Cricetulus griseus: one gene and its partners. The protein of the gene in region 1 purifies or fractionates together with the protein of each later gene. This does not show direct contact. Links are inferred from orthologs where the notes say so. Each region holds a gene or a part of one and is shown on either strand. Other genes may lie near its edges.

Region 1 (4,129 bases):
AAAGAGCTGGGCGAGTCAACAGGCTTAGCCAAGGAAGTCTATTTCTAACCCAGGCTGTGTGGGACAGGAAGAGAGAACTCCAGGAGGAGGTCGGGGAGGTCCCCACAGGCGGGGTGGGGAAGGACCCCACAGCCACATCCTTGCTACAACTCTCCAACTCTTGGCTCTGAACCTCAGAGATCTGGAGCATGAGAGCCACCTCACTCACAACATCCCCAAGCACCCTCCTGTGACACCCTACTTACAGTTCCCAAGACACCCTTCTTGGTCAGGCAGCCCCACTAGAGGTATCCACTCCAGGCGGGGTAAGAGGGCCGGAAAGTCTCAAGTCTCGGGAATCACCTCATGGGAGACGGGAAAAACCCGCTCCTCCCCGACCTGGGGCTCCGCCCCACTGCCGCCCCCCCCTTCCCAGTCTCCTCCCTCCCTCTATGGGCTGGGAGTGGCTCCCTACCCCCTTCTCCCCATTCTCCTTTCACATCCCTGCCCCCTCCTCCTTCTCTCAGAGCTGTCTCATCCAAACACGGGGAAATAAGAAATAAAAAGTAAACATCTGGAATACATTTTTTTCCTTTAATTTCTCAATCGTTTTGGCTTCAGCTTGGAATTTGATGAGGTAAAGCCAGGGCCTAGTCCTGTTACCATAGCAATGGCCTCCCACTGGATTTCCAGGGCCTAGCCAAAGGGAAGGAGGAGCCGGCCCAGGATGGGCAGGGAGAGGACAGACTGGACTTGATTGGGGGGCGGGGGGTGGGGGTGGGAGGCTTGACTTGGAGGAAAACTCCTCAGGGTCCAGCCTTCCAGGACAGTCAGGGAGGGACCTGCATAGACTGTGAAATAGGAATATGTGTGGATCACTAGCCTGGAAACGGCCAGAAGGAGTTTTGAGGGACCAGAAGAAATTAAACCAGATGACAGCCACATAGTAGTAGCCTGTCACATGAGCTTCTGAATCTGATATTAACAGATTTAACAGCTAAGTGGGTCTACCATTTTAAAGCTGTGTGACTTTTCCCTATCTGAAAAATGGGGTATTAAGACTTGAGTTTCAAGCCAAATAATGCATGCAAAATACCAAGCATGGAAGTGATAAGTAACAGTTGGCCACTATTAATGTGACTACATTCGGAGTCACTAATGAGCTAACTAACATCCTTGGTAACCACCTATAACTCTCCCCCTACCCTAGGCTGCATTCCTAGACCAGTCCTTCATGACCCCAAGTCATCAGTTCTTCAGGCACTCCACCTCCTCAGTTCCCACCCTGGGTGCTGATGCACCCTCCCACCCACAAGGCCCCCTCAGGCTCTGCTACCTGATGAATAGCAAGCACTGCCCCTGAGGTTCAAAAGCAAGGGAGAAGCTGCCTAACACACGGAATGCACACAACCCTGGAGGGGCAACCCAACCCTCACTGTGTTGCAACCTCAAAGTCCCTTTCCCACTCCAACTGGTCTGAGAAGATAGCTCTCAATGCTAAAAACGACCTGTGGTGCCCAGTCTTTGCAAAAGGCATCCCCATCCCCTTGACCCTGTCCCAGCTTATTTCGAAGAGGGTATGGAGAGAAACTGTGACAATGTCAATCTCTGATCAGCCAATTACCACGGGCTGTGCGTGGGAGAATAACGTGTGTGGGGGGGGAGGGGGTGACAGGAAAAAATAAAATTAAAAATACACAAGATTGCTTCCTTGTCCTTGAACATTATTACAAGGGATATGGTGTGGGTGGTTAGAAATGAAGAAAAACTAGTCTAGAAAAAAAAATCCTCTCACCTGTGGGCTTGATGGACACCTCTGAGGTTATAAGGGGCTGCAGAGATGAAGACAGAGGAGGTGGCTACAGTAGAGAGGCCCCAGCCAGGAGCCCCAGGAAACCAAGGCCATGGCCTCAAGCTGCAGAATCGCAGTGCCTCAAGAACTCCGCACCCTTAATGGTCTAGGGAAACCAGACAGCCTTGGGAGTAAAGGCTGCCCCCAAAGGATGGGAAGGCACTAGGCAGCCTCAGTCCTGGGCAGGCAGGCACCCTAAGGGCCGGCAGGGTCGTCCCTAAAGGTCTCCTGCTGAATGTGCGACTAGTGCGACCAGGAGGGTTAAGTGTTGGAAGAGGGAGGGCCAACAGGAAGGCGGAACAGCCCAGGGCAAGGGGCTGTTTGGAGGGCCTCCGTGGGGAGCTTACGGACATCGAGCGGCCAGGCGAAGAGGAGGAGCAGATGAGGGTGGAGGAGGAGGGGGCGGCAGCAGCGGGGACAGTGAGAGATGCCAAGCAGCCCGCGAAGGAACAGACCGAGGACTGGCGAGGAGGACTGTGAGGGCGGCCTGGGGTGGCTGGGGGCGTGCCATGAGAGTTGAGGAAGAGGGCCGGTGAAGGCAGGAGGGGGGGGTCCCTCGAGTAGCTCCGCCCGCCCCCGGCCCGGCCCCGCCCCACCCTCGCCTCTCCCCGCTTTCTTCTGGCTCCCGGCACGAGTGCTCTCCACCCCCGCACACACGCTCCAGCTCCGCAGCGCCCCCGCGTCCCCAGGCCCTCGCAAACTTTCCTAGTGACCCCCCCACCACCATCGCCGCCGCCCCAATCTGAGGTCGGGACTGCTAGGCGCCCGGTTCTTTCCATGCCCTTCCCCGCCCCCATCCCCGGACCCCGCCCCCTCCGGCCGTCGCCGCACACTCACGCGCTCCCCGGGACGGGCTCCGTTCGGCTAGGCACCCCGACGCCAGTGACCGCTGCTGCCGCTGCCGCCACCGTCACCGCGGGACCGAGCCAGTGCAAGCCCCGGGGCCCCTCCCATAGCCCCGCCCAGGGACACGCCTCCATGCCGTTCATGAATATTCATATAAGAATCCGTGAGAGGGAAGCCGAAGCTGAAACAGAGTCCGGCCCACGAGATGCAAACAAGCACAGCTCGCACATAATTATTCATGACCTTGTAAATGAGGAGCCGGTCCTGATTCAGACTTAGGCGAAACTGACGCAATTTTACCCCAGCGCCACCGAGATGACTGCCTAGAGAGGAAACCGCTCTGGACTGCTTTCCCTAAGCCTACACTGATTACAGCACCATAGAGCGCGGGCAGCACGAAGGGAACCGCTGGCGGACTGAACAGGCTTCCTGTTACACCTGAGTCTTCCTGGGAGCGCAAGCGACGTGGCCACCCGTCGTGTATAAATTCAGATTGAAAGCCACAGTAGAAAGTGGAGTAGCTTTTTCCCTCGTGTTATCTGTTTAAGAGCTCTCTTAGATACACTTCCCAAACATGAAATTTTGTAGCCCTCCCTTCACACACTTAACTTCACTCACACACTACTCATCCTCCTGACTCAGGTTTCCACTCCCTGCACTAGAAAGTCGATCCTCATTCTATTACCTCAAGCCTTATAAGACCCTTGTCTCCTAAAGTGATTAAGGATGGAGCTGAGAACCCCGCCCCCTCCGACTCCCACCCCTGTGCTGGCTAATGGAGTGGAACTCTGAGAGGCTTCCTAATCAGATCAGCACTCATTTCTTGACTCTCAGGTGGCATTGTTCACAGACAAGGGTGAAAACCAATGCTTGTCCAGCCAGGAAGGACAGGATGTGCTTCAAGACTTGCTTCCCAGCTGGGCAGGAGGGCCCTGCAGAGTCCGGATAGAAGGGTAAACACCACATGTAAAGTGGGAAAGGAGACATAAGGACATGGTTTCCAAAGTCAGTTCCATTTATTAAATTGACTTCACAGACCAGAAATACAAAATAAAAGTAGAAATAGGCCCCTATTAGGAGCTACAGGCCTGACTTCACATGACCCCTGATGCAGCCACTTGAATAAGACAGGAAGCAGCTTTATCCCTACAGTCGGGCAAGTGAGCCGAGGACTTAGATCCTTCAACGCACTGTGAGCAGACAGAATGCACTCCTACCCAGTCTTTCCCCAGATTACAAGGAGCCATTCTTGCAAAGCAGCTGAGGTTAGATGTTTCCCTTGATGCCTGCCTCAGAGAAGTGGAAGCCACCAGGAGCAGTTACTCAGATGGCACAGAGTCCAAGAACTATGTAGAAAGCCTGGAGATGTGACAGGGCAAGGACAAGAATTTTCTTCCTCTACTCATCAGATCCTGAGGCAGAGTCCTCTGAGCTTGGAGGAGTGCTGGCTAG
Region 2 (4,151 bases), on another chromosome or scaffold:
CACAACCTCCATAAATTTAATCATTCTGCTGTTCCTTGAAGTACTTTGTGCACCCATTACTCCTACGAAGGACAGGAAAGTAGAAACCGAATATGGTCACCTCTGAACTTTCATCAACTACCTCAGGACCATCACATGCTATTCCTGTATGTGCAACTTATCAGAAAAATATAAATGGACAAAAGAAAAGTAAAACCCAGAGGGTAAAAGGCAGCCCGAATGAGCCTCCATCTTGGACTCAAATGACCATTCTTTTCTTCTTTAATTACTTATTCAAACACCAAACTCAAACTCTACTGCATTCCACTGTACTCAAATGCACATGTAGTTAGATTATACTTGGGTTTAGTCTGCACTTAACTTACATGTAGTGTTTATTAGTCACATTTCATTATAACAAGGTTACCTCCACAGCCTGATAACAGGCACAATTAAAGCAAAAAGATTTTGTAGAAACTAAAGTTTGAAAACATTAAAACCAGAACTTTCTTCTCCACAACAAATACCACTACATATTTATAATAGAAATCTTAAGTATACATTTTTAGATGAATATATGTGGGCATTCTCAAAAGTGACAAAACATCTAAGCCAGAGTTTCCTAACCAGAAGATCTTGCACATAGGAGAGGGTTGCAAACGAACTGAAGATTTTACTCTCTCATCACACAAGGGCCAAAAAATACAACTATAAGCTGCTTCAACCATTATTCCAGTATCTTACACAGATTACCTTTCTGGGCTGCACTGTATAAAAAACTTAGTTGTGGTACTGCACACCTTTAATCTCAGCACTCCAGAGACAAAGACAGGAAGGCCCACAAGGACTACATAGAGATCTTTTTTTCTTTTAAAGTTAACATGGGTACAGTAGATGCCTAAACATTAACCAAAATACTAGTTAAAATTACATGTATAATATCTGTTCAAAAAAAGAAAAGAAAAAAAAAAAAAAGCCTGAAATTTCCCAGCAACCAGAAACATCTGAAGTTACACACGGACTGACTTCCAAGGAGACATCTCCAGTCACACAAGAAAAATGGCTTTTTGTCACATACATTTTGTCCATGTTAGCAAGCACCTTGTGCACTTACTAAGAAATGGCCACATTGATCTACCTCAAACAGTATCTATTGGCTAAAACCCTTTCTTCTCAAAAAAAAAAAAAAATACTTAATAATTATACCGCAATTACATGTCTTCACAAATACAGAAAGCCTGATGTTTACCCTCACTCACTGCAATACCTTGGTCGAGTCATCTTATTCTTTCTAGGGTTCGGTTTCCTCATGGGCAGCGTAAGACTAGACCACTAGTTCCATGTAATTTTAACTCTAAAGTTTATTCTAGAAAGCATCAAATTCAAAAGGCTGGCAGCAATTACAAAAAGCAAAATATGTCTTCACAACCTTTTGCCTACAGAATTGCTGTGGAATGAATGGTGGAGAATTCTAGGGAACTGTGGAAAACGGTGCTATTACACACCAAATTGGTTTTCGCTTAATTCGTAGTCCCTCTCTTCTCCAAACAATCCCAAACAGAGGCAACAAAGAACTTAGCCCTAGCAATAATCCGGCAGTCTACCTGCAAAACAGGTTTGCCTGTACTCAAATTCAAGCAGATTATTTAAACACAGTAACAAGACGTTGTTCACAATGTTGTCACTTGCAGTTAACAGTTAAAAGCAACGATTACAGTTGCTTGTGAGCAGACTCCGAAGACTATGTCAAAGCAGAAAGAGTCAAAGGGGGGAAGCCGGCGGGGGAGGGGGGGAATGTTACCAAAGAAAATAACCACTGGCGTTCAAACATGAAAAGTCTAGGTTCGCTTTAGTTAAACTCGGGAAAATTTCTTCAAGGAATTAGTACTCGAGTCCTGAGTCCAATAATCTCTACATCTGATAATTACGTCTTTGGCCACGTAATCCGCTCCGCCCTAACAGTAAATATCTGCGTTAAAATGACTTATTTAAAATACTCGAGGAAGGAAAAGGTGAGCGCTAAGTTTGTCCACGGAGTGCCAAGTTCCACGCCGCACAGTGCGCCACCCCACACAACCACTTCACCGAAGTTGCCACCGGTCTTGGCCCGGAGTCCCGGGACACCAGCTCCTTCCTCTCCAGATGCGCATGGCCAGAACCGGGGGTCCGAGAAGCTCAGGCCCACGCCACCGCCTCTGTACGCCACCACACTGCCGTCAATCAACACCCCCACCCCCGGCCGAGCCCCGGGACTCCGCGCGGGGGCGCGGCCCGGGGACCGACGGGATCGTGACTGCGGCGTCCAGGAGGGGGACCGGCAGACGTCACTCCGAGAACTACTAAGTTGTGTGTGAGTGCGCGCTCGAGGTCCCCAGGGCACGGCCCCCGGGGGATGGGAGAGCGCAGGCAGCCGAGCCTCGGCGGGACTTCGCAGAGCCCGTCGCGCTCACCTCTCGAGCTGCGCCGCCTTCCTCCGCCGCTGCCGCCGCCTCCTCCCGGTGAGTGCAGCGGGGTCTGCCCTGTGGAACCACCATACCAGTCCCGCCCGCTGCTGCAGCGCCGCCGCCGCTCCTCAGCCGCCTCAGCCGCCGCTCTTTGTTCCCCCCTCAGGCGCCGCTCCTCAGCCGCCCGCCTCGGCCGCCCGGACCCCACGAGCCGCCGCTACGCTCTGCCGCCCTCTCGGCCCCCGGCCTCGCCCTCCTCGCCCGCGCCGCCGCCGCCTTCGCCTCCGCGCCGTCGACGCCGCCGCCACCGACGCCGACGCCTCCTCTTCCGCGCCCCCCTCGTTTTCATTGAAAGCAAACAAGCATCATGGCGGCGGCCGCCGTCCCCCTCCCACCCCAGCCAGCGAGAGCCCCGCTCACCGCCGCCTTGCCAACATCCTGGCTTCCCATTGGAGGATACTGCTGGGCGCGACCATTTCGCGTCAGGCAGGGGGGTGGATCTTCGTCTCCGTTCCCCCGCGTCGCGGAGCAGTGAGCCGGCCCGGCGCGCTCCTGCCCGCCCGCCCTGCCTCTCTTCCCGCTCTCTTTGCGCCTAGCCTTCTCCACGCCTACTGTCTCCTCCTCTTCCTAACACCGTCCTAACGCCGTTTCAGCTGCTCCCTATTCCCTTCTCGCTCACTTTTATCTCCACTTTCCCCTTGATTTTTCCTCCTCTCCATTCACTTTTCTTTTCCTTGACCTGTCAATCACTTGGAAGCACAGATAAGCACTCAGACTTTTAACCTATCCAGTGTCTTGATCTGCCCAGAGACAAAACGTTCAATCTTGAATACTCGACTCATTGTTTCTGCCCTAACTATGCAGAAAAAAAAAAAAAATAATCAGTAGGAGTTTTTGATGATAAAGTCCTAGTTTTAAGTAACGAACCATAGCCGCATTCAAAGGCTAACACAGTCTTATCTCTTCTGGGTTATTACCTGCAGACGGTGGTTGCAGGTAAACCAGGAAAGAAACGGGCTGACTAATGATGTTTACGTCAGGAAATAATAGTTGACTGGTATTTTGGGCTCAGGGATTAATCAGACTCCACCTTGTCTTGAGTCAGCGTTGCATAGTGTATGGGCAAGAGTAATATCCGGCAGACAAACTGCACTGGCTATGCAGGATATAGTGTGAAGGAAAATAGCTGCCCCCTACCTCGTGCCAAATCAGCCCAAAAGATATGAATGTCAAATGGTTTCCAGAAACTAACAAGGAAAAAATAAATAAATGCTTGTCCCTCACCGAAGTCTGTAGGAAATGGGTGGCTATTGCCTGAGGCAGAGAGAGCTGGGAGAGCAAAGCTCCCAGGGACAAAGGCTCTTCCAAGAACCAGATGTTCTGTTCAAATCAAACAGTTTGTGTTTGCATGGCTCCAGCATTGCCTTGAGATGATCATTGTATGCCATCTGCCAGGATAGCAGTGCCAGTCTAGGCCTTTAGTGCAATGGGTCCCTACACAAAGTTAAGGCAATGCAAGCACCCAGCATACATGAAGAATTAGTAAGAACAGATGCATACTACCTACCTGAAGATATTTCTCCATAACCTCCAAGCCTGATCTACTCAAGTTATTCAGTGCATATTTTATACAAAGGGTGCCAGACTGAGGGGCCACTCATTCTGCTGGGCCACTCCCATTCCAATGCTGTATCCTGGTAACCTGTGCTCCAGCCTAAAGAAGAGAGT
Region 3 (3,500 bases), on another chromosome or scaffold:
TAAAGAGAACAGGACAAGAGAGGGAGAGGCAGAGGGGGTAGCCAGGGTGTAGGTGGAATTTTCTGTTCTGCCAGCTAGCTCCCAGATAACCACAGAGACTTATTAATTATAAATGCTTGCCCAATAGCTTAGGCTTGTTACTAACTATTACAACTTAAATTAACTCGTTTCTTTTTTTCTTTTTTTAAGATTTTATTTATTATGTATACAGTCTTGTGCCTGCACGCCAGCAGAGGGCACCAGATCTCATTCAGGGTGGTTGTGAGCCACCATGTGGGTGCTGGGAATTGAACTCAGAACCTCTGGAAGAACAGTCAGTGCTCTTAACCGCTGAGTCATCTCCCCAGCCCCTAACTCATGTTTCTTATCTACATTCTATCACGTGGCTTGGTACCTTTCTTCAACACAGCTTCTCCCTGAGTGTCCTGGCAACTACACCCTTCTTCACCCCAGTGCTCTCTCCCTGTCCACAAGTCTCGCCCAACACTTTCCTACCTAGATATTGGCCATTTAGGGGAGTGCCCTGAAAGTGACAAACAACCCTGTGGTAGGCCAAGGGAGCACATGGCCACAGAAAAAAACCCTCACCAGGTTCAGTTAGGGCTTCCTGGGAGTCTTGTCAGTGCTGTTTCTGAACACACCAGGTAAGGTCGCTGCTATGCTGGAGCTCAGGGAAAGACAAAATGAAGTCCCGGCTTGTGTGCCCCTCCCACTAGGGCGTCATCCCTTCCTGGGCACCCTGCAGGCCCCACTACAGCTCCAGGGGGCTCTAGGGACCAAGGCCTCACGGGGGAGCAGAGGGGGTAAGGAGAGAGCTTGACTTCCCTCTCCCTTTCTGGATCTGAAACTTCAAGGTCCTCTGATTTTCTCCACACATTTCCATCCTGTGTTTGATCGTTTGCTTAAATAAGATCCGTATGACACGGCTGCTGCCAGCAGCACTGCTTGAAACCTGTTAGCTGAAACAAAAAGCCTTCTGGGGAAATGAAAGGCCTGACTTTTGAAATCTAAGCATTCCTGTCCATCTGTCTTTTCTCAAATGGCCTCCATTTAAGCTCTTAAATGTGTTCTGAGTGCCCCTTCCACTAAGAATATTCTGGGTAATGTTATGATTTTTTTTCCCCCAGCTACAATTACCCCGGCTCCAGGCCTAACGGCTTGAAATGCCGTCGTCTGTGAGGCAGGAGGACCACTTAACAGGCTTCTTACACTTCAGGCCCCAGTCTGCATGGGATGGGTGATTGTGTCCTAGCAGGTTGCTTAGATTTTTAACCACATTTATCCCCCCCCCACTCTGTGTGTGTGTGTGTGTGTGTGTGTGTGTGTGTGTGTGTGTGTGTGTGTACATGTGTACATGTGTACATGTGTACATGTGTACATGTGCACACACTCGAGGTCAGAACCTAAAGGTTTTCTCCTTGCACCATGTGGGTTTCAGGTATTGAACTCAGGTCATCAGGCTTGTCAGCAAGTGTCACCTTGCAGGTCCAGGTTGTCTTTCAAAAAGAGTAAAAGGCTGGGTCTTCTGTGCCCATGTGAAGGCGATGGTGGGGGGAGGGGGGAGGGGGGGAGATGTGGACTCACCCTGCTTACAGATATGTCAGGGATTCTCAGAGGAAGCAGGGTTGGGGGGAGGTCCAGCTCATAGTTGGTTCTTGCACACTGTCCCCCAGTAGAAGAGCCAAACCTCGCTGACTAGTAAGTAGTGGCAGCTGCCAGCACCCTTCAGCTGTCCTCTGAGATCTGAGGAAAGATGCCTTTCTGTGTGTCCGCCCTTCCTTCCTTCCTTCCTTCCTTTCTTCCTTCCTTCCTTCCTTCCTTCCTTCCTTCCTTCCTTCCTTCCTTCCTCTTCCTCTTCTTCTTCCTCTTCCTCTTCGTCTTTCTTTCCCTTTTTCCCTTGTTTTGTTGTATTTGGAGATAGGGCCTCGTTAGATAGCTCAGGCTAGACTCAAGCTTGATCTTCCTGTACCTCTTACAGCTGCCAAGACTGCAAGCATGTAATGTCACCCTAGCTCCATCCCTGTCTGTTGGCCCGAAGGACCCTGCAGAGTTTGTCAGGTGCCACAACGGCCCCTTCATCAAAGACTCAAGCTAGTTCTGGTCTTGGGGTAGCCCAGGCTGTTCCCCCTTCTCCATCAGTCCTTAGGTCTTCAGTCTGTTGGTAGGGGTGGGCAGGCTTGAGCTTGGAAAGGATATTTCTTGTTTGGGAATTGAGCCTGAGGACTTATCATGGACAGGTTTCTTTGTGTGGGCAAGCACATTCGCAGCCCCCTTCCCCCCCCACACACTCCTTTGGAAACTAGCAAGGAGACCTTCTTAAAATGCCTCCCATTGCTCTTGGTGATCTAATGTTCTCCTGGTGTGGGAAAAGGTGCTTTTCAAAGCAGCAGGTTGGGGCCTGGTTCTCTTTACTTCCTGTGTGCTTAGCCCTGTGTGCTGGGTTCATTGACTGTGTTCCCTAAGGAGCGAGGCACCTCCTGCCTGCTTCTCTAACTGACAGCAATCTTCTTCATACTTATAGTCTGAGGAGCCTCCAGAAAGTCAGGGAGACATGGGCACTGGCTGACCACTTTGATGGTGAACACAGGGAAACACTGGTATTTGTGGCCACGGCACTTGCCATTCTTTCTATCTGTTCCTCAAAACAGCCCAAGGGTAGTGAATGGTAGCCTTGTTTCCCACAGGAGAAAGTGAGGTTGCAGCTAAGGTGTTTGCTGGTGTTAACAGCTGCATTTAGCCTGTCTGCTGACATCTGACCCTTTGCTCTATAAGCCTCTCCAGAAAACTTCTTGGTGACTTGGCCCCTGAACTTGAGGCAGCTGAGCTTGGACCCTCTGTTTACAGGCCAGGGGACTCGGAATGATTCACAGGACCATCTCCTACTTTGCTACCTTCCAGGTCACCGTGGAGTAACAAGTATGATCCTCCTTTGGAAGATGGGGCCATGCCTTCTGCTCGACTGAGAAAGCTGGAGGTGGAGGCCAACAATGCCTTCGACCAATACCGAGACCTGTGAGTTACTCTGCACATTAGCTCTCGGGGCTTTCATGGGGGGAAATCTTCTGTGAGAGCGTGACTAAGCTGAGCAGCCTCCCTGCTCTGCTGCCTGGTCTCCTAACTTGCTAAAGTCGGAGCCACCTGAGGCAGACATGACCATATTATTCTGTTACCATTCACAATAGTGGCAGGTGAGTCGGGAGAGCACATATGTGTTTACAGGGCATGTTTACACAGGGCATGTGTTTTGCGTTCCCACTGTCTCAGGTCCTCTCAAATGAATAGCTATTTCAGTGGGAGTAAAGTGTCGGATGCTACAGTGGTGCAGTCACCACATAGCGCTCACACAGAGAGAATGAGGAAGTTTGTCCAAGGCAGGGGCAAAGCTAAGACTCACACATGGGTGATCACTCACAAATACGCAGTTAAGATACAGTCTCTCTCTGTAGCTTGGGCAAACTGAGTTTGTGATCATGTGTGGAGATTACAGGTGTATGAGAACA
Region 4 (3,500 bases), on another chromosome or scaffold:
TCTAAATTTTTATGTCTACACTGTTATTGTGTATGGTTCTCCCCTAACATCTTTATTCAGATCTACTAGTTAAATAATTTACTAGAGACTACAAAAAGAATAATTAGGACTGGAGAGATGGCTCAGAGGTTAAGAGCCCTGACTGCTCTTCTGGAACATAGGCAGAACACTGTATATGTGATAAATAAATCTTTAAGAAAAAACAAAAAAGAATAATTAGGGCTACTTATAAGGGTCGAGAACAAAATCATAAGCACTGGTTCTCAAGAGGGACTATCTTTACAAGAGAACATTTGCTAATGTCTAGAAACGGTGTGTCACAATGTATGGTGCTGGCATGTAGGCTAAAGCTAGAAATGTACTAAATATTCTGTATGAACAAGATGCCCCCACACCACATGCTTTCTGAAAAGAATTATCCAGGCCGTTGTCAACAGTGTGAATCTAGAGAAACCTTCACTTAGAGAAACACCCCAATCCAGAAGTCACTACTAATCACTAGGGATATATTCACTTGAAAAATGTGGGGTCAACTAAGAAAAGCCAAACCACAAAAATAATCACTTGTATCAAACTAAAGTATGGAGAACAGAAGAAATAATTTCTGAATATCAATGAAGTCAAGTATTTAGGTTTCTATACAAAATTTCACCACTGAATTTTGTTATCATGGATATATGGGAAAAAAGTTTTCAAATATGAATTTTCAAATTTGAAAAAAAAGTTTTCAAAATAACACTAGCCTGATTTGATAACATAAACACACAGAGAGACACGTATGTGTGCATACACGACTGTAACTTTCAATCAGCTACCACTAAAAATCTTAATTACCGTAAGGTGCTCTTCCAGCCAAGGGGTTTATTAACGGAGTTGGGTTACCACTTCCTTCCCTTCTATTTCGGTCTGCTAATGCTGGGAAATCTGAAAGGTCCAATCCTGTCACATTTTCACTGCCATCTAAACGATAAGAAACAATAATCATTACTGATTTCACCAACATTGAAAATGAGATTATAAAAATTAAATTATAATTTGAAACAACAGTGTCTTCTTCCTTAATAATGCAGAGTGGTGTAACAGGTGTATAACAGTGGTAAGATACTATGGACTGGTTTTCTGTCATGGAATTTCCTAACAACTAAGGAAAGCAATATGCAGCCAGCTCCTTAACATACCTAATTCTAGAGATTTAATACAAAGAATAAAGAGTGTGGTTGTACATTATTTCCCCCAACAGAAAGGGAGATAAAAAGATTACAATTTGCTAGGGAACAAGAAGTAGACTGTTTAGATATAACTGCTTTTTTCATTAAATCTAGATTACCTAGAGCTTCAACAGTAAGATATGATATTACCTCTTACAAATGTCCAGAAAGACTCTGAGACAAATAGTGCACAGAGAACCCCTGAGGACTTCTGTCTTATACACTATTAGTTTGAGATAAAAATGTGTACACATGTATGTATATGTTAGCTATATGCAAGGACGAACTCCTCCTATGTCTCAGGAGCAGGTGGGGAACATAGGAATGACCAAAACCTAGAAGTTTATATTACCTGTTACACAGTAGGCGCTCAATAAATATACTGAATAAAGATTTTATGCATTTTGAATTAGACTGCCACCATTAGAAATAAACATTTAACCTAACTTCCGTATTTTGCCTATTTTAGTAGTTTTTCCTCTCAACTTTGAGTGTTCTTAACCTTGAATTCTAATTTTGAATCACTTAATTTTTCTACCTAAAATTTGCCCTATACTATAATTTTTCTTTAATCTATGTTTCTCCTTGTTTTATAAACATTATAGTTTTGGGGCCACTTTCTAATTAATTCTGATTTTTCTCAAAATTTTTCAATTAAAAGGATATCAACTACTATCTATCCTAATATTAACTTGGCTAATAAAAAGACTTTATTAACACACCAAGGAAGGTAATAATTTAAAACTACAAGGGTAAAGGTAAACCATTTCATACAAATTATTTTAAAAACATTTATAAATTTTCCATTAAATGCAATATGGATAAAGCAAAAGTGGTGAAAATTTTTACTGTTTTAATTTATAAAGTATATTTCTCAAATTATGGTTATTAATTATAATTTTTCTCCAAGTAAAAATTAACTTCTAATATTCATCCTTAAGTCTTCCAATGTCCAATTTAAAATGTTCATGTATTAGGTGAGAATATAATTTAACCAGCAATTTATAATGTCCCAAATGTAAACTTAGGGAAAATCTTGAAAGTAATTTCTCCAGTATAAAACCTAAGAATATAAAAATTCTGAAACTGAGCCTGGGGTTGGTGGCGCGCACCTTTAATCCCAGCACTCGGAAGGCAGAGGCAGGTGGATCTCTGTGAGTCCGAGGCCTGCCTGGTCTCCAGAGTGAGTGCCAGGATAGGCTCCAAAGCTACACAGAGAAACCCTGTCTTGAAAAACAAAACAAAACAAAAAAACCCCTGAAACTTCAAAGCAGTGTATAAAAACATCATTCAGTTGAAATGTGAGTAGCCTTTCACAATGATTTCACATCTTAAGTATGAAAAAGTGTACACCTTAAAAGCAATGACGTATACAACTTTGTTGTAAGAACTACAAAGTTGGTATGTTTTAAAAATCACACCCAGAAAACTTTAATATTTAAATGCTTAAAATCTTCCATTCCTTTCAGTGGTTTTAATCTTGGCTGATCCACTTCAGCGGTTCAACAAACCACCTCAACACTGAGAAGTCAAAAGCCTATTGCTACCAATGCTTCCTGTCAAGTCTCCTGTCATGTATGATGCATGTTCTACTGCAGAATGTCCTTTCACCTGCCACCTTCACCTATGTGCCACCCAACAGCCCTGCTTCTCTGCCCCTTCAATATGGCAACAACCCTTCTTTTCATCGACAAAGGACAGAGGCAAAGCCACCAACACTGCCACTCCCTGTTTTCCTCTGCCTGAGCAGACTTTAGTTTTTGCCAAAAATCAAGTTTGTTTCCAGTAGCTTAATCAAATAAATAATAATGGGTCAAAATTTGTAAGGGTTAAATGTGAAAACTTTTCTTAAAGCTATTTTGAAAATGGCAAATGCTCCCTATGGAGGACTCTCTTCAATCTGAGTCTCTATAATCAGAAATGTCTTGTCACCAACTCAGTCACTCTTGTTCTCAGTGACAAGGCCAAGGACAGGAAAAGTTTTGAAGAAAAAAAAACAAAAACCAACAACAACAACAGCAAAACAAGATTCTGAGGCAGATATAGACTAAATTAGTATTTACTCTCTTTATATATTAAAAAAAGTAATTGATGTTACAACACAAAATACTACATTACAAGGCCAAGCTGGGGCAGGGGATCATTTAAATTGTCTCTACTGCTTAGCTTAGTCCTATCCCTGGCAGTTTTTCACTATTTAAAACAGTCAAACCTGTTAATGTTTAAGAGACCAGTATGTTAAACTGCTTGTATTTCAGAACTCTACTGTACTTTAGTAGGGTACTAGCTCCA
Region 5 (3,500 bases), on another chromosome or scaffold:
CTACCCCTATAGCTTCTATCTAGACTTGATTAATGGGGAGCCCTGGCAGATCAGAGCAAGAGTGAGAGAAGGGTTTATCTTCCCACATCTCCCTTCTTATTATAATCTGGCAGGCACTGATTGAATCATTCAATTCTAAGCCATCACCTCAATTATTGGCTCTCTTGTATACTTCCAATTTCTGATGACAGCTCCCACCATTTTCCCAGTTAGGAGTAGGAGTGGTAAAGTACAAAAGCAATCATTGTTTTTTTTTGTTTTTGTTTTTTTTTTTTTTACTTAAGACTGAACACTCCTTTGGAATCAGTCTCCTTATTAAATTTTTTCAATTAGTCACAGTCTCAGCCCTCAAATTCCAATTGATATGTTCTTTAATTTAGAAGAGAAAGCCCTGTTAGGAGATAGGTGGCCTTTCAACCAAAATTAGAAGCAAAACTGAAAGCAAGTAAAAAAAATGATGTTGTAAATACCTGAATCTGGCAATGAGTTAAGATCTGCACATAGCACCAGCGGGATGGAATTAGGATCTGCGGTTGGGCTGCCAGGCCTACTTGAGGCTTTCTCCAGAATGTTTTTAACCTCTGAGACAAACATCATGGTCTGAATAAGTTTCACATCAGAATACTCTGGGTCCCAATGCATGTGGGCATTTGCCACTATAAGCAGCTGTTTGTCTGCAGCATGAATAGGCTTCATACCTAAATTTAAACATCATAAAAAAGAAAATGTAGAGTTATGTTTATGTTTCTTGAGAGTAGTACCTTAAAAGTTCTCTGAAAAATATCCATTGCTACTTCTTTACTCTTTCCTATTAATTTAAACTGATTTTTATCTTGCACTTATCTGACAAGCTAAAAGGTAATTCTGGAAATTGCAATATATTAGTTATTCATCAGGGTCATGTTAACAAATGGCAGCCTATGGAATAAACCTGGGTCCACTACATATTTCTATTACAGGCTTTGTGAGCTAAAGGTAGTTTTACACTTTTCAAACAGACTCTATGTGGTCCACAGAACCTAAAATATTTAGTATCAACAATTATAGTACATGTTTATACTAGAAATTATTTCATAATATAATGAATATATGGGTTATAGTACTATTCATCTGCTGAGTTCTTAGCTTAAAGCAAACAAGTTATTTTAATTTTAAATGATGTGTGTATATGTATCGGAATATGAGGTCGGTACATGAATATAGTGCCTGTAGAGACCAGGATTTCTTGTATCTGAAATTAAAGGTGGTTGTGAGCCACCCAATGCAGCTATTAGGAACCAAATTCCAGTCCTCTGGAAAAATGAATGCTCTTAACTGCTAAGCCACCTCTCTAGTACCAAGCAAGCACTTTTAAGTGCCTCTTATTTAATTAGCATAATAATCTAGTGAGAGATTTTTCCAACTGAATTAACCAATACTTAATATCTTGCCACTACATAATATGTTACCTGTGTTGCATTTCACTAGCTTAATAGTGAAAGGTCAGTAGGAAAAATTAGTAACATTATATGAACCTACAGAAAATGAAATAAGGAAGCACATTTGTTACCCAACTGAATCCTCAAAGTTTATTTACTTATTTTAATTTTTGAAGTCAGGGTTTCTCTGTGTAGCCCTGGCTGTCCTGGAACTCACTATGTAGACCAGGCTGTCCTCAAACTCACAGAGATTGGGCTACCTCTGTCTCCCGAGTGCTGGTATTAATTAAAGGCATGCGCCACCTCAGCTGACCCCAGTTAATTTTAAAATGGAAACTGTGGGACTGGATAAAGGCTCAGAGCTTAAGAGCACTTGCTGCTCTTGAAGAGGACCAGAATTTGGTTTCTATCACTGACATCAGACTGCTCACAACTACCTGCAACTCTACTTCCAGTAGATCCAACACCCCTTCTGGCTCCCATGTGTACCAGGCATGTATATTGGGCACATACGCAGCCATGACCCTCAAAACAAAAATCAGAGAATTATGTGCTCTCAAAAGTCTGGATACTTTCATCTTTGACCTGCTTTTACTACTAATTACTTTGTGTGAATTCAGGGTAGTCAACCACTTAATGTTTTTGATACTCGAATAATTTGTAAAACGATAATTCAGCTATATATATATTCTTTTTTCCCTAAAATTCTGTCAAACATCAACATAGTACTTTTCAAAAGGTGGACATGGTAAGTAATAATATTAAATACAAATTGTGAAAAGAAAACTTAATAGGTGCTGGCGAAAGATGACCCTAAAACAGTCAAGGCATAAAATTAAATATTAATGGTATAATGTCACTTAACATAAATCTATATACACATATTTCAGATGTTTGGATTCATAAAAAGAAATGAGTAGGAGGAGATTTCTAGAGTGTGACTGACACAGGAACTTATTGCTTTTTAAGTTTATATACTTGTGAACTATTAAAGTATCAGTTAACATGCAAACCTAAGTTTTCTACAAGAATATCTCAGATTTTTCTACTGAAATAGAAACTCTAAAGAAAAAAGACAAATTTCTAAGTCTGATATTTAGGTAAAATTATTCTTCCTTCCAATCTTACTATATTTAATTTTCTTCAACATTGAGAAAATAAATTAATAAAGTACCTGTTACATGAAACTGAAGGAATAATTTACATTTTTTTTCTAAGCTGTCTCATTTTCCTAGAAGTTTTAGTGTCACTTATGGCTATAAGTGAATGTTTACTATGTTAAATATTAAAAACATGTCCCCAAAAAGCTATTTGCTCCTACCCACCAAATTCCCCTTCTAGAGGGATAAGGGATGTATCTTAGGAAGTAGAAGTGTGCAGTAAGTAATTCAGAATTACTCTTCTATAAATTAAAAAGGGATAAACCCCAAAGGTGTATATTTCTATAAAAGCAGAACAAAATATACCAGGAAGAAAGTGATAGGAAAAATACATAAAAATATTGAAAAGGCTAAAAACAAAAAGTAAACATGAAATTTCACATTAAAGGCTGTTTTTGTTTAACAACAGATAAACTGAAGAACTGTAGGAAAAAAAGGGAAATTTAACAATATGTATAGTCTGAATAATTCAAACTAGTACTCAAGACAGCCTTTTCTTCCACAGGCAGCACAGGGAGAGAAGTGCACTGATGTCATCTTACCACCTTGTTCTTGCCTGCAACATTAATAAGTAATAAAGTGCTCTGAGGCAGGCAGGAGAGAGGCTAACAAAAGATCTTAATAATGCCAAGCACACAACAGATTTCTGACTCTCAAGGAAGCTATGAATAATCTAAAAACCCTGGAAGTATCACATAGAAAATATGTCATTCTCACCCTGACAAAGACTTGAAATTTAACAAAGAAATTAAAGAAAACAAGCCAACTATTTCATATTAAAAACAAAGGGTTCACATTCACAAGAGAGGACTAAGCCATGGTAACTTCTAATTCAGCCTAACTAAACATCAAAGAACTTATTCAATTAATGGTATGTTAAAAAGGCAGGTATTACCTTGTTAAGTAAAAATAATGATAAAAA
Region 6 (3,949 bases), on another chromosome or scaffold:
AGTAGAAGTTACCGGGGTTCATGAATGGTGTGTCCAACTCAAGCCCTCTGTAAGTACTCCTAGCTGATGGACCAGCTCTCTAACCTCTAGACTTCACTCCCTACCTCCCAACATTTACCCAAGGATGACCAAGCTTCCAACACAAGAGTCTTGAAGAAAAATCATATCTGAACCACAGCTGCTTACAAATGGCTAAGCTGGTGTGTGGTAGTTTATATTAGAGTGATCCTTGTGGGCTCATATGTTCGAATGCTTAGCCACCAGGAAGTGGAATTCTCCGAAGGATTAGAAGGATTAGGAGGTGTGGTCTTGATGGAGGAAGTGTGTTGCTAAGGGTAGGCTTTGAGGTTTCAAAAGCCCATGCCAGACTCAGCCCCATTTTTCTTCCTGCTACTTGTGGATCATAAAATAGAACTTTCAGCTACGTCTCCAGCATAAGTCTGCCTGAGTGCCACCATGCTCTCTGCTGTGACAGTGACAGTAATGGACTAAGCCTCTGAAACTGTAACCAGCCCTCTACTAAATGCTCTCTTTTATAAGAGTTGCCTTGGTCGTGGTGTCTTCTCACAACAATAGAACAGTGACTTGGACGTGGTGTGTTAGGTGCTGGGTAGCCAGCCCTCTGTGCAGAACAGGGGGAGAATCCACTCCTCTTGGCTTTCTGAATTTTTTTCTTCTATATCCTGCTACGCATTTCTCTCTGAAGTTGAGATAGTGCTTAGTATTGAAGGCATTTAACAGTCTTAGGTAAAAACATGCCGCATAGGGCCTCAACAAAATATTCATACAGTGAGGCCCAGTACAGAGTAGAAATCTCCAGATACAGCTCTCAGGGCTACAATCTACATACTGGGAAACTTTGGACATCAGAGTTACTTCGACCATTCTGTTTCAGTTTTCTTATCTGTGAACAAGAGGCTATAAAATCTACATATGCTGCATATAATATGCAGGATATATATGCATCTATATACACACATATGTGTATATATGTATGCTGGGAAAGCGTCTTTGTTATCTGATTCTCTCGGAGGAAACTGAGCAACCAATAGATTTTGTGAATTAGGCAAGGCCATGTGGGCTAAGAGGTCCCAGTGTTAATTCTGGCATCTTGGTTCTGTTCCAGGTGCATCTGCCAACCAAGCTTTCTACACCTATCCATGTTGTATCTGTTAGGCCGGACAGCAAGGAGGTAGAACAAAGAGAAGCCAGGATGGGGGCCACCAATGCAACACACTATTCTGTTAAAAACTAGGAGAGAGATGAATCTGAAAAAAAGAGTGAGAAAAATGACTGTTTTAAATTTGGTTTTATTGACCTTTAGGTAATGGGTTGGGAACTCTAAGCCTTAGGGCAAATTGGGTTTTTTTGTGGGAGGGAGAGGGGGGCTTGAGGAATTCGTGGTCATTCCTGTAATTGCAACACTTTGGAGGCTGAGGCAGGAGGATAGGCACCAGTGTGAGTTCACCTGAGATGGCATGGTAAACTCCAGGCTTTCCCAGCTACAGAGTAAGGATTTATCTCAAACGATAACCACAGTAACACTACCACAAGCAACCTTCCTCACATACATTACTGCAAAATATACATATAAGCAGAGCAACACCACGACATGACACACATTTAGAGTAGTGTTTTGAAGACAATCTCATCATGACTGTAAGCCCAAATTGTAGTTCATTACTTCCTAAAAATATGTGCAAGAAAGTGCACGCCACAAGTTGGCTTTGCCAAAGACAGCTGCATATTTCATAAAATGCCTGCTTCGGTGAGTTCCAGAGACACAACTGGAGACTATCAAGCAAATACGACCAATGCTTCATTTAAAACCAGAAACAGCATTGAAGCGTTTCTTTCCACAAGACATCACAAGACTGCAATCTATCAGTTAGAATTCTGTTCATTTCAAAGCGTTATTATTATTATTTTTCTTTAACCCTATGGCTCAGGTTTTAATTTTGTGGATGAGTCAAGATGTGTGGTCACAGGCAAACTCCCATTTCTTCCCAAGGGAAATGCCTGGCCATCCACGTGCTGACCAGCGTGTCACCTCCCTTCCATAGACTTCAGAGACCAGTTCCACTTTGCCTCTGGGGGAGACTCATCGTCTCTCACCACCTGGCGGCGACTCACTCCTCTAGGGCTGTAGCCCTCTCTCTGGACACCAATGGTCCCCTTCCCCACCATTCCCAAGTCAGACTCTCCTGTGCTCGGGTCCCTAGCACTCATGATTCTAGTCCTCTCTGCCCCGCATCCGCTCTTCCTGTAGATCAACTCCCCGGTTCTGAGGTCTCCCCTTCAAGACTCCCCTTCTTCTCTCATGTTTCCGGTCCACCGTCTCCATGACTCTCCGTATCCCCTCCTTCCCCTTCATTTCGAGTCCCCTTTCTGAGTATCCCCTGCCCAGCTAGGCTCTCCTCTCCCCGGATCTACGCTCTCCGTTTTAGGTCCCCATCCCTGGTGTCCTCTGCAAAACAGGGCTCTCCTACCTCCAGGATCTGTTCCTCCCGTTTTGGGTCCCTACAGGGGTGCGGTCTGCACAGCCCTGCTCGGGTCTGCCGGGTCTCCGCCCCACGGTCAGGGTACGCTGGCCACCGGTGTCTCTCCACGCGTGCTAGGGCAGCTGTCTGCTGGCTATTCTTGTGTACCAGGTCCGGCTGTGGACTGGGCGGCGGCAGGAGTACTCGCGCAAGACGGGGCCGGGGTCTAGGGCACTCAGAGGACTGTTGCGCGGTGGTGGTGGCGGCGGCGGCGGCTCAGCAGGCGGAGTGCAGCCGGCTCGGCTCCCGCCCTCGAGAACCCCCGCCGAGTCATTTGACCATATAAGGACACACGCGCAGGGGCGGCGGGCTGGGCGCGCGGGCCAAGGGAGCAGGGCGCGGTGGCGAGCGCCCCTCGATCGCCTGTCGTCGCGTGTTCCCCCCTGCTGCAGCTGCTGCGGACCCTTTGTTTGACTTAACGTTCTTCTTTACTTCCCGGTGTGTGGCGCACAGAGTCAAGCCTCCCTGCGCCCTGGCCTCCGCTCCAGGGGCCAGTGGCAGTGCAGTGCAGAGGGTTGTGGCCGCTGTCACCTAAGGGCAGAATGACATGGGTCTATTCTCACCAGGACCCTCCTCTGGGTTGCTGGGTCTGCGCCTGGTCGCCGTCTGGGCAAGCATGGGTGGGCCATTTGGAGATTTGGGGGAGGAACGATGTGTGCGTAGGGCATGCACTGGCATGGTAGTTTCCCCGGCCTTCCCTTGCAAATACCTCTCCGTGGTGGAATGAACCCAACCAATGACGTAAAGAATCTTTAATGACTCTGTTCCACCAGGTAGCTGACTGAGAGAAGGTTGAGAGCTGTTTAGCTGTTGACATTCAGTGGCTCCATGCAGGCAGAAAGCAAATGAAGGGCTTAATGTGTCCTTCATGCTCAAAGCCAAGGTCTTCTGCACAGAGCTGGCCCTTAGTAGGGACAGGAGGCAATGTCCAACATGGTGGTGGAAGGTACCCGCATCCCCACGTCTAGGAAGGGCAGCATCTGCTCTTGAGTAGGTGGGGGGCCCACATGCAGTGGCAGAGGCAAGGACTTCTCAGTGCTGTAACCTGACCAACAACTTAATGGAAGGATTCGTTTGGCTGCAGGGTTTATGAAGGAATACAGCTGGTCATCACTGAGATGGCATGGCCACTGTGAGAATGTCAAGTTGGTTGGTCACATTGCCTTCTCAGTCAGGAAACAGTTTAATTTCCCCTTTTCATCCAGTCTGAGAGGCCAGCTCTTGAGAGGTGCTGTCCACATTTGGGGGTCAGTCTTTGCCCCTCGGTTAAACCTCTCTGGAACTGCCCTCAAAGAGGTGTGTCTCCTAGGGGTTCCCAAGTTCAGCCAATCGACTGAAGGACCATCACAATGGTTTTGGGTGTAGGCATTCTCCAGGGGAGCTCGGGGTAACATATGTTAGAGAAGGCA
Region 7 (3,500 bases), on another chromosome or scaffold:
TCCCCAACCGTTCTCATTTCTCAGGATTCAAGCTCACCTTTCACTAATACCCAATAACCAGGTGTTCTTCCAAGTATGAAAGGAAGAATTTTCAGACAGCAAGTTTTGCTTGTAGGCAGTAATATCTCTCTTCCAAAATTCTTGTTTTGGATTTCAGATCACTCTCCTGAAATCTTCAAGAGTGCAAATGCACACAGAGGTCTGGACACTACTGTGAAAATCTCCCACCCAGCAATTACTCGCTAGCTTATAAACATGCTCGCCTTCTACAGTCTAGCTCTTTCTCTCTCTGCTCAGCCTTCTCTTGACCCAGAGGTCTTCTGCTCACTAAGAATTAGAATCTCAGGGATTATTCTAGGTGGAGAAACTTCCAAGTCAAGATTAATGGCCTCATGTATAAGCAGTAAACTGCACAGCACTTAACAATGTATTTAATTTACTTAGGGTTTTTTGAAGAGTTTCCCTGTGCTGGGATTAAAGGTGTATGCTGGCCACCAATTTTTAAAAACAAGATTTATTTATGTGTATGTGCATAGGCACAGGGGCTTGTGCAAGTGTGCAGACCTCTCCCTGTTCTGCTGAGACAGGCTCTCCCTGAACCTGAAGCCTGTGTTTTCAATGGCAGGCTAGAAGCCAGCTAGCCCAGAATCTTCCTTTCCCCTCAGAACTTGGGTTAGCGGCATGTGCTCTACCAGTAAGTCACCCCATCACTGAGAACTGACAAACCTCAGTCTAAATATGAGAGTCGCAAGCTGACAGCCCTGAGGAAAGCCCAGGAGGAACTTACATTTCCAGCCGTGTTCATGACAGACTTGATTTCCCGTTTGCAAGCCTTCAGGGACTTCATCTGGATGTACGCTCTGACTTTGTACTGTCAGGGAGGAACGGAGGCACGTAAGAGGTGGGTCACTTACACACGCTCAAGCTCTGCTTCCCAGAGCAGGACGGTAAATCTCATCTGCTTACAACGCAGTCAAATGCCAGTTTCATCCAAATGCAACTTAAAAATGATCTTAAGTATTGTTTTCCTTTTCTTTTGTGTGGCGCTGGGGATAGAATCTAAGGTGTTGTGCATCATAGGCAATCATTATACTCCCGAGCCAAAAACCTACAAATCCAAATTTGCATGAAACAATTTATCTTATCTGTATAATTTTAAAATTCCATATATTGACTTATCATATATTCTAGGTTATTTCTTTTTTTTAATTTATTTACTTATTTTTATTCCATATACAGTGTTCTGTCTGCATATTTGCCTGCACACCAGAAGAGGGCACCATCTTATGATAGATGGTTGTGAGCTACCATGTGGTTGCTGGGGATTGAACTCAGGACCTCTGGAAGAACAGTCCAGTGCTCTTAACCTCTGAGCCATCTCTCCAGCCCTCTAGGTTATTTCAAAGTTCTATACAGTGACTTAAAGAAGTTATACTGTATGTATGTGTATGTAAAGCAAAATGTATTTACAGGAAAAACTATACTTCTAAACTACATCCTTCCAACCCGAGTAAATGCACCGCCTTGAATTAGTGTCTATGTGCCTCTCACACAGCTTCCATGCATGTCCACCCTTTGAGCATACACTACCTGGTGTATCTTGGACTTTGCAGCCTCTATTAGAGCTCCACTCTCAGCCTTAGGATTAGATCCATCCTTGTTGCTATTATTGCCAGTCTGTACAATAGTGAAACAAAATCAAATAGTTGTAACCATACTGATTTCCAAATGAGCTAAGTACAAAGTGTCCAAATCAAGTATCCAGAGGCCATTTTCAAATTGAACCTGCTGCAGAGCCTACTCCCAGGGACTGAGGATCAGTACGGCATTCCTGACAGGAGGAGAAGAGCATAGCTATGGACCAATTTTAAAATCACAAGTGCCCCTCAGACTATGCCTCTAAAACCCAAGACAGGCTGTCTTTTTCTGCCCTCCTCCTGTGTGATTACCCTGACAGCACCACTGAGCCCTACTTTCCCTGAGGAAGCCTCAATCCTTCACCTTCCTTCTGCACAGACCCACCTTCTCTCTAGTGTGCTTGCCTGGCTGCTCCCCACATCTCAGACACATCAGGACCACTGTTCACACCCTTTGTGCTGTCTCTTCTACCACGAGTTACTCTACTCCATCCCTCCTTTTCTGACTCGTCAGACTGAATATTCAAATCAAACACACGAGTCCTAGAAACTTCTCTCATTTTCTTTCTTTCCACCCATGAACTCACTGTACTCCATCCATCCCTTCCCTGCAGAGGGCCCCGGGGACAAGGATTGCAGTGTTTCTACCGTCCTTAGATTAGAACCTATCACACATATACACCAAATATGGAAAAGAAATACTATACAACACAAACTTTAGGAAAAATGCTAAAAGCACTCTGCTGGAATCTCTTAATACACTTGTTGGAGCTAAACAAATGTAAGCCATGCAAGTGTTTAAAATGAAAAGTTTTAAGAGGCAAGCTTACAAGGCTTGGACGGACAGCACAGTTCCTGTGAATCACACCTCCAGAAAGCTGCTAGGATACCATGTCTCATGTGACAGACATGGGTCACACCTTCTAAGTCTCAGTCTGATGGCTGGGAACTCACCTCATTCTTTCCGTTTTTGCTGCTGCTGCCCTGTGAGATCATTTTTTCTAGGACAGCAAGAAGATGCAGAGCTTTCTCAGCTTGGTGGGTTAATATATACAAGTCTACAAGCAGAAAGCACACTGCTTGGGCAAATTTTTCTTCTGGCAAAACAAACAAACAAACAAACAAACAGAAAAAGTTACACTTCAAGGTAGAGCAGTATTTTAGGGCAGTTACTGTCCTCTGTATAACACCCCAGTGGGTAGGTACTTTGTTCAGATGCACAAAATGTACATCAGAAGTAAATCCTAATGTGAGCTACAGACTCTGTGGGACTGTAAAGTGTCAGTGTGGCTCATCCACTGTAAGATACGCACTGATACTTACCAACGAGGACAGCTGTTATGGGGAGTTACGGATGTTGATGGGGAGGGCGGTAGGAAACGGCTCAATTTTGCTACGAACCCCAAACTGCTTAGAATAAAACCAAACAAAACACCCAACCAGCAAAAGTAAAAAACTAGCGGCACGTGACGGTGCACGCCTTTCATCCCAGCACTCAGGAGAGGCAGGCAGATCTCAGAGTTCCAGGTCAGGGTGATCTCCATACTGAGTTCCAGGACAGCCAGGACTGCACGGTAAGATCCTTTCTCAAAAATAAAACAAGGGGCTCGAAGGTTAAGAAATCTCGCTGCTCTTCCAGAGGACCCAAGTTCCAAGTACCCACATCAGGCAACTTACAACAGCAGCCTGTAACTACAGCTCAAGGGGACCCAATGCCTGTAACTACAGGGGACCAATGCCTCTGACTTCCAGGCCTCTGCATTCATGTGCACACAGACACACACAGACATACCCCAACACATATAATTTAAAAAATACTTAAAATAGAAACAAACCTTTTAAATAGAAAAATTAAGGAAACCA

What was found.
Region 2: the proteins of Tnks1bp1 (region 1) and Cnot6 purify together in Homo sapiens (affinity purification with mass spectrometry; 3 studies listed by BioGRID and IntAct, with this or other methods). This does not show direct contact. The link is inferred for Cricetulus griseus from reciprocal best matches to the Homo sapiens genes TNKS1BP1 and CNOT6.
Region 3: the proteins of Tnks1bp1 (region 1) and Capzb purify together in Homo sapiens (co-immunoprecipitation; 5 studies listed by BioGRID and IntAct, with this or other methods). This does not show direct contact. The link is inferred for Cricetulus griseus from reciprocal best matches to the Homo sapiens genes TNKS1BP1 and CAPZB.
Region 4: the proteins of Tnks1bp1 (region 1) and CCR4-NOT transcription complex subunit 2 purify together in Homo sapiens (affinity purification with mass spectrometry; 5 studies listed by BioGRID and IntAct, with this or other methods). This does not show direct contact. The link is inferred for Cricetulus griseus from reciprocal best matches to the Homo sapiens genes TNKS1BP1 and CNOT2.
Region 5: the proteins of Tnks1bp1 (region 1) and Cnot6l purify together in Homo sapiens (affinity purification with mass spectrometry; 4 studies listed by BioGRID and IntAct, with this or other methods). This does not show direct contact. The link is inferred for Cricetulus griseus from reciprocal best matches to the Homo sapiens genes TNKS1BP1 and CNOT6L.
Region 6: the proteins of Tnks1bp1 (region 1) and Fhl2 purify together in Homo sapiens (affinity purification with mass spectrometry; 3 studies listed by BioGRID and IntAct, with this or other methods). This does not show direct contact. The link is inferred for Cricetulus griseus from reciprocal best matches to the Homo sapiens genes TNKS1BP1 and FHL2.
Region 7: the proteins of Tnks1bp1 (region 1) and Cnot10 purify together in Homo sapiens (affinity purification with mass spectrometry; 4 studies listed by BioGRID and IntAct, with this or other methods). This does not show direct contact. The link is inferred for Cricetulus griseus from reciprocal best matches to the Homo sapiens genes TNKS1BP1 and CNOT10.

The regions. Positions count from the first base shown.
Region 1 is NC_048599.1:90,486,593-90,490,721, forward strand, and holds the start of Tnks1bp1 (182 kDa tankyrase-1-binding protein), read right to left. Parts: upstream 2,801-4,129; 5' UTR 2,669-2,800; intron 2,159-2,668; exon of another isoform or gene 1,775-2,158; intron 399-1,774; exon of another isoform or gene 246-398; intron 1-245. Other genes in the region: FACT complex subunit SSRP1, read right to left, coding at 4,076-4,129.
Region 2 is NC_048600.1:64,155,617-64,159,767, forward strand, and holds the start of Cnot6 (CCR4-NOT transcription complex subunit 6), read right to left. Parts: upstream 2,801-4,151; 5' UTR 2,430-2,800; intron 1-2,429. UniProt on the Homo sapiens protein: Poly(A) nuclease with 3'-5' RNase activity.
Region 3 is NC_048595.1:14,047,072-14,050,571, reverse strand, and holds part of Capzb (F-actin-capping protein subunit beta), read left to right. Parts: intron 1-2,898; coding exon 2,899-3,012; intron 3,013-3,500. UniProt on the Homo sapiens protein: F-actin-capping proteins bind in a Ca(2+)-independent manner to the fast growing ends of actin filaments (barbed end) thereby blocking the exchange of subunits at these ends.
Region 4 is NW_023276806.1:139,747,295-139,750,794, reverse strand, and holds part of CCR4-NOT transcription complex subunit 2, read right to left. Parts: intron 961-3,500; coding exon 835-960; intron 1-834. UniProt on the Homo sapiens protein: Component of the CCR4-NOT complex which is one of the major cellular mRNA deadenylases and is linked to various cellular processes including bulk mRNA degradation, miRNA-mediated repression, translational repression during translational initiation and general transcription regulation.
Region 5 is NW_023276807.1:158,440,508-158,444,007, forward strand, and holds part of Cnot6l (CCR4-NOT transcription complex subunit 6-like), read right to left. Parts: intron 699-3,500; coding exon 471-698; intron 1-470. UniProt on the Homo sapiens protein: Has 3'-5' poly(A) exoribonuclease activity for synthetic poly(A) RNA substrate.
Region 6 is NW_023276807.1:5,338,962-5,342,910, reverse strand, and holds the start of Fhl2 (four and a half LIM domains protein 2), read right to left. Parts: upstream 2,801-3,949; 5' UTR 2,490-2,800; intron 1-2,489. UniProt on the Homo sapiens protein: May function as a molecular transmitter linking various signaling pathways to transcriptional regulation. Negatively regulates the transcriptional repressor E4F1 and may function in cell growth.
Region 7 is NC_048597.1:221,684,002-221,687,501, forward strand, and holds part of Cnot10 (CCR4-NOT transcription complex subunit 10), read right to left. Parts: intron 2,735-3,500; coding exon 2,592-2,734; intron 1,678-2,591; coding exon 1,591-1,677; intron 872-1,590; coding exon 788-871; intron 1-787. UniProt on the Homo sapiens protein: Component of the CCR4-NOT complex which is one of the major cellular mRNA deadenylases and is linked to various cellular processes including bulk mRNA degradation, miRNA-mediated repression, translational repression during translational initiation and general transcription regulation.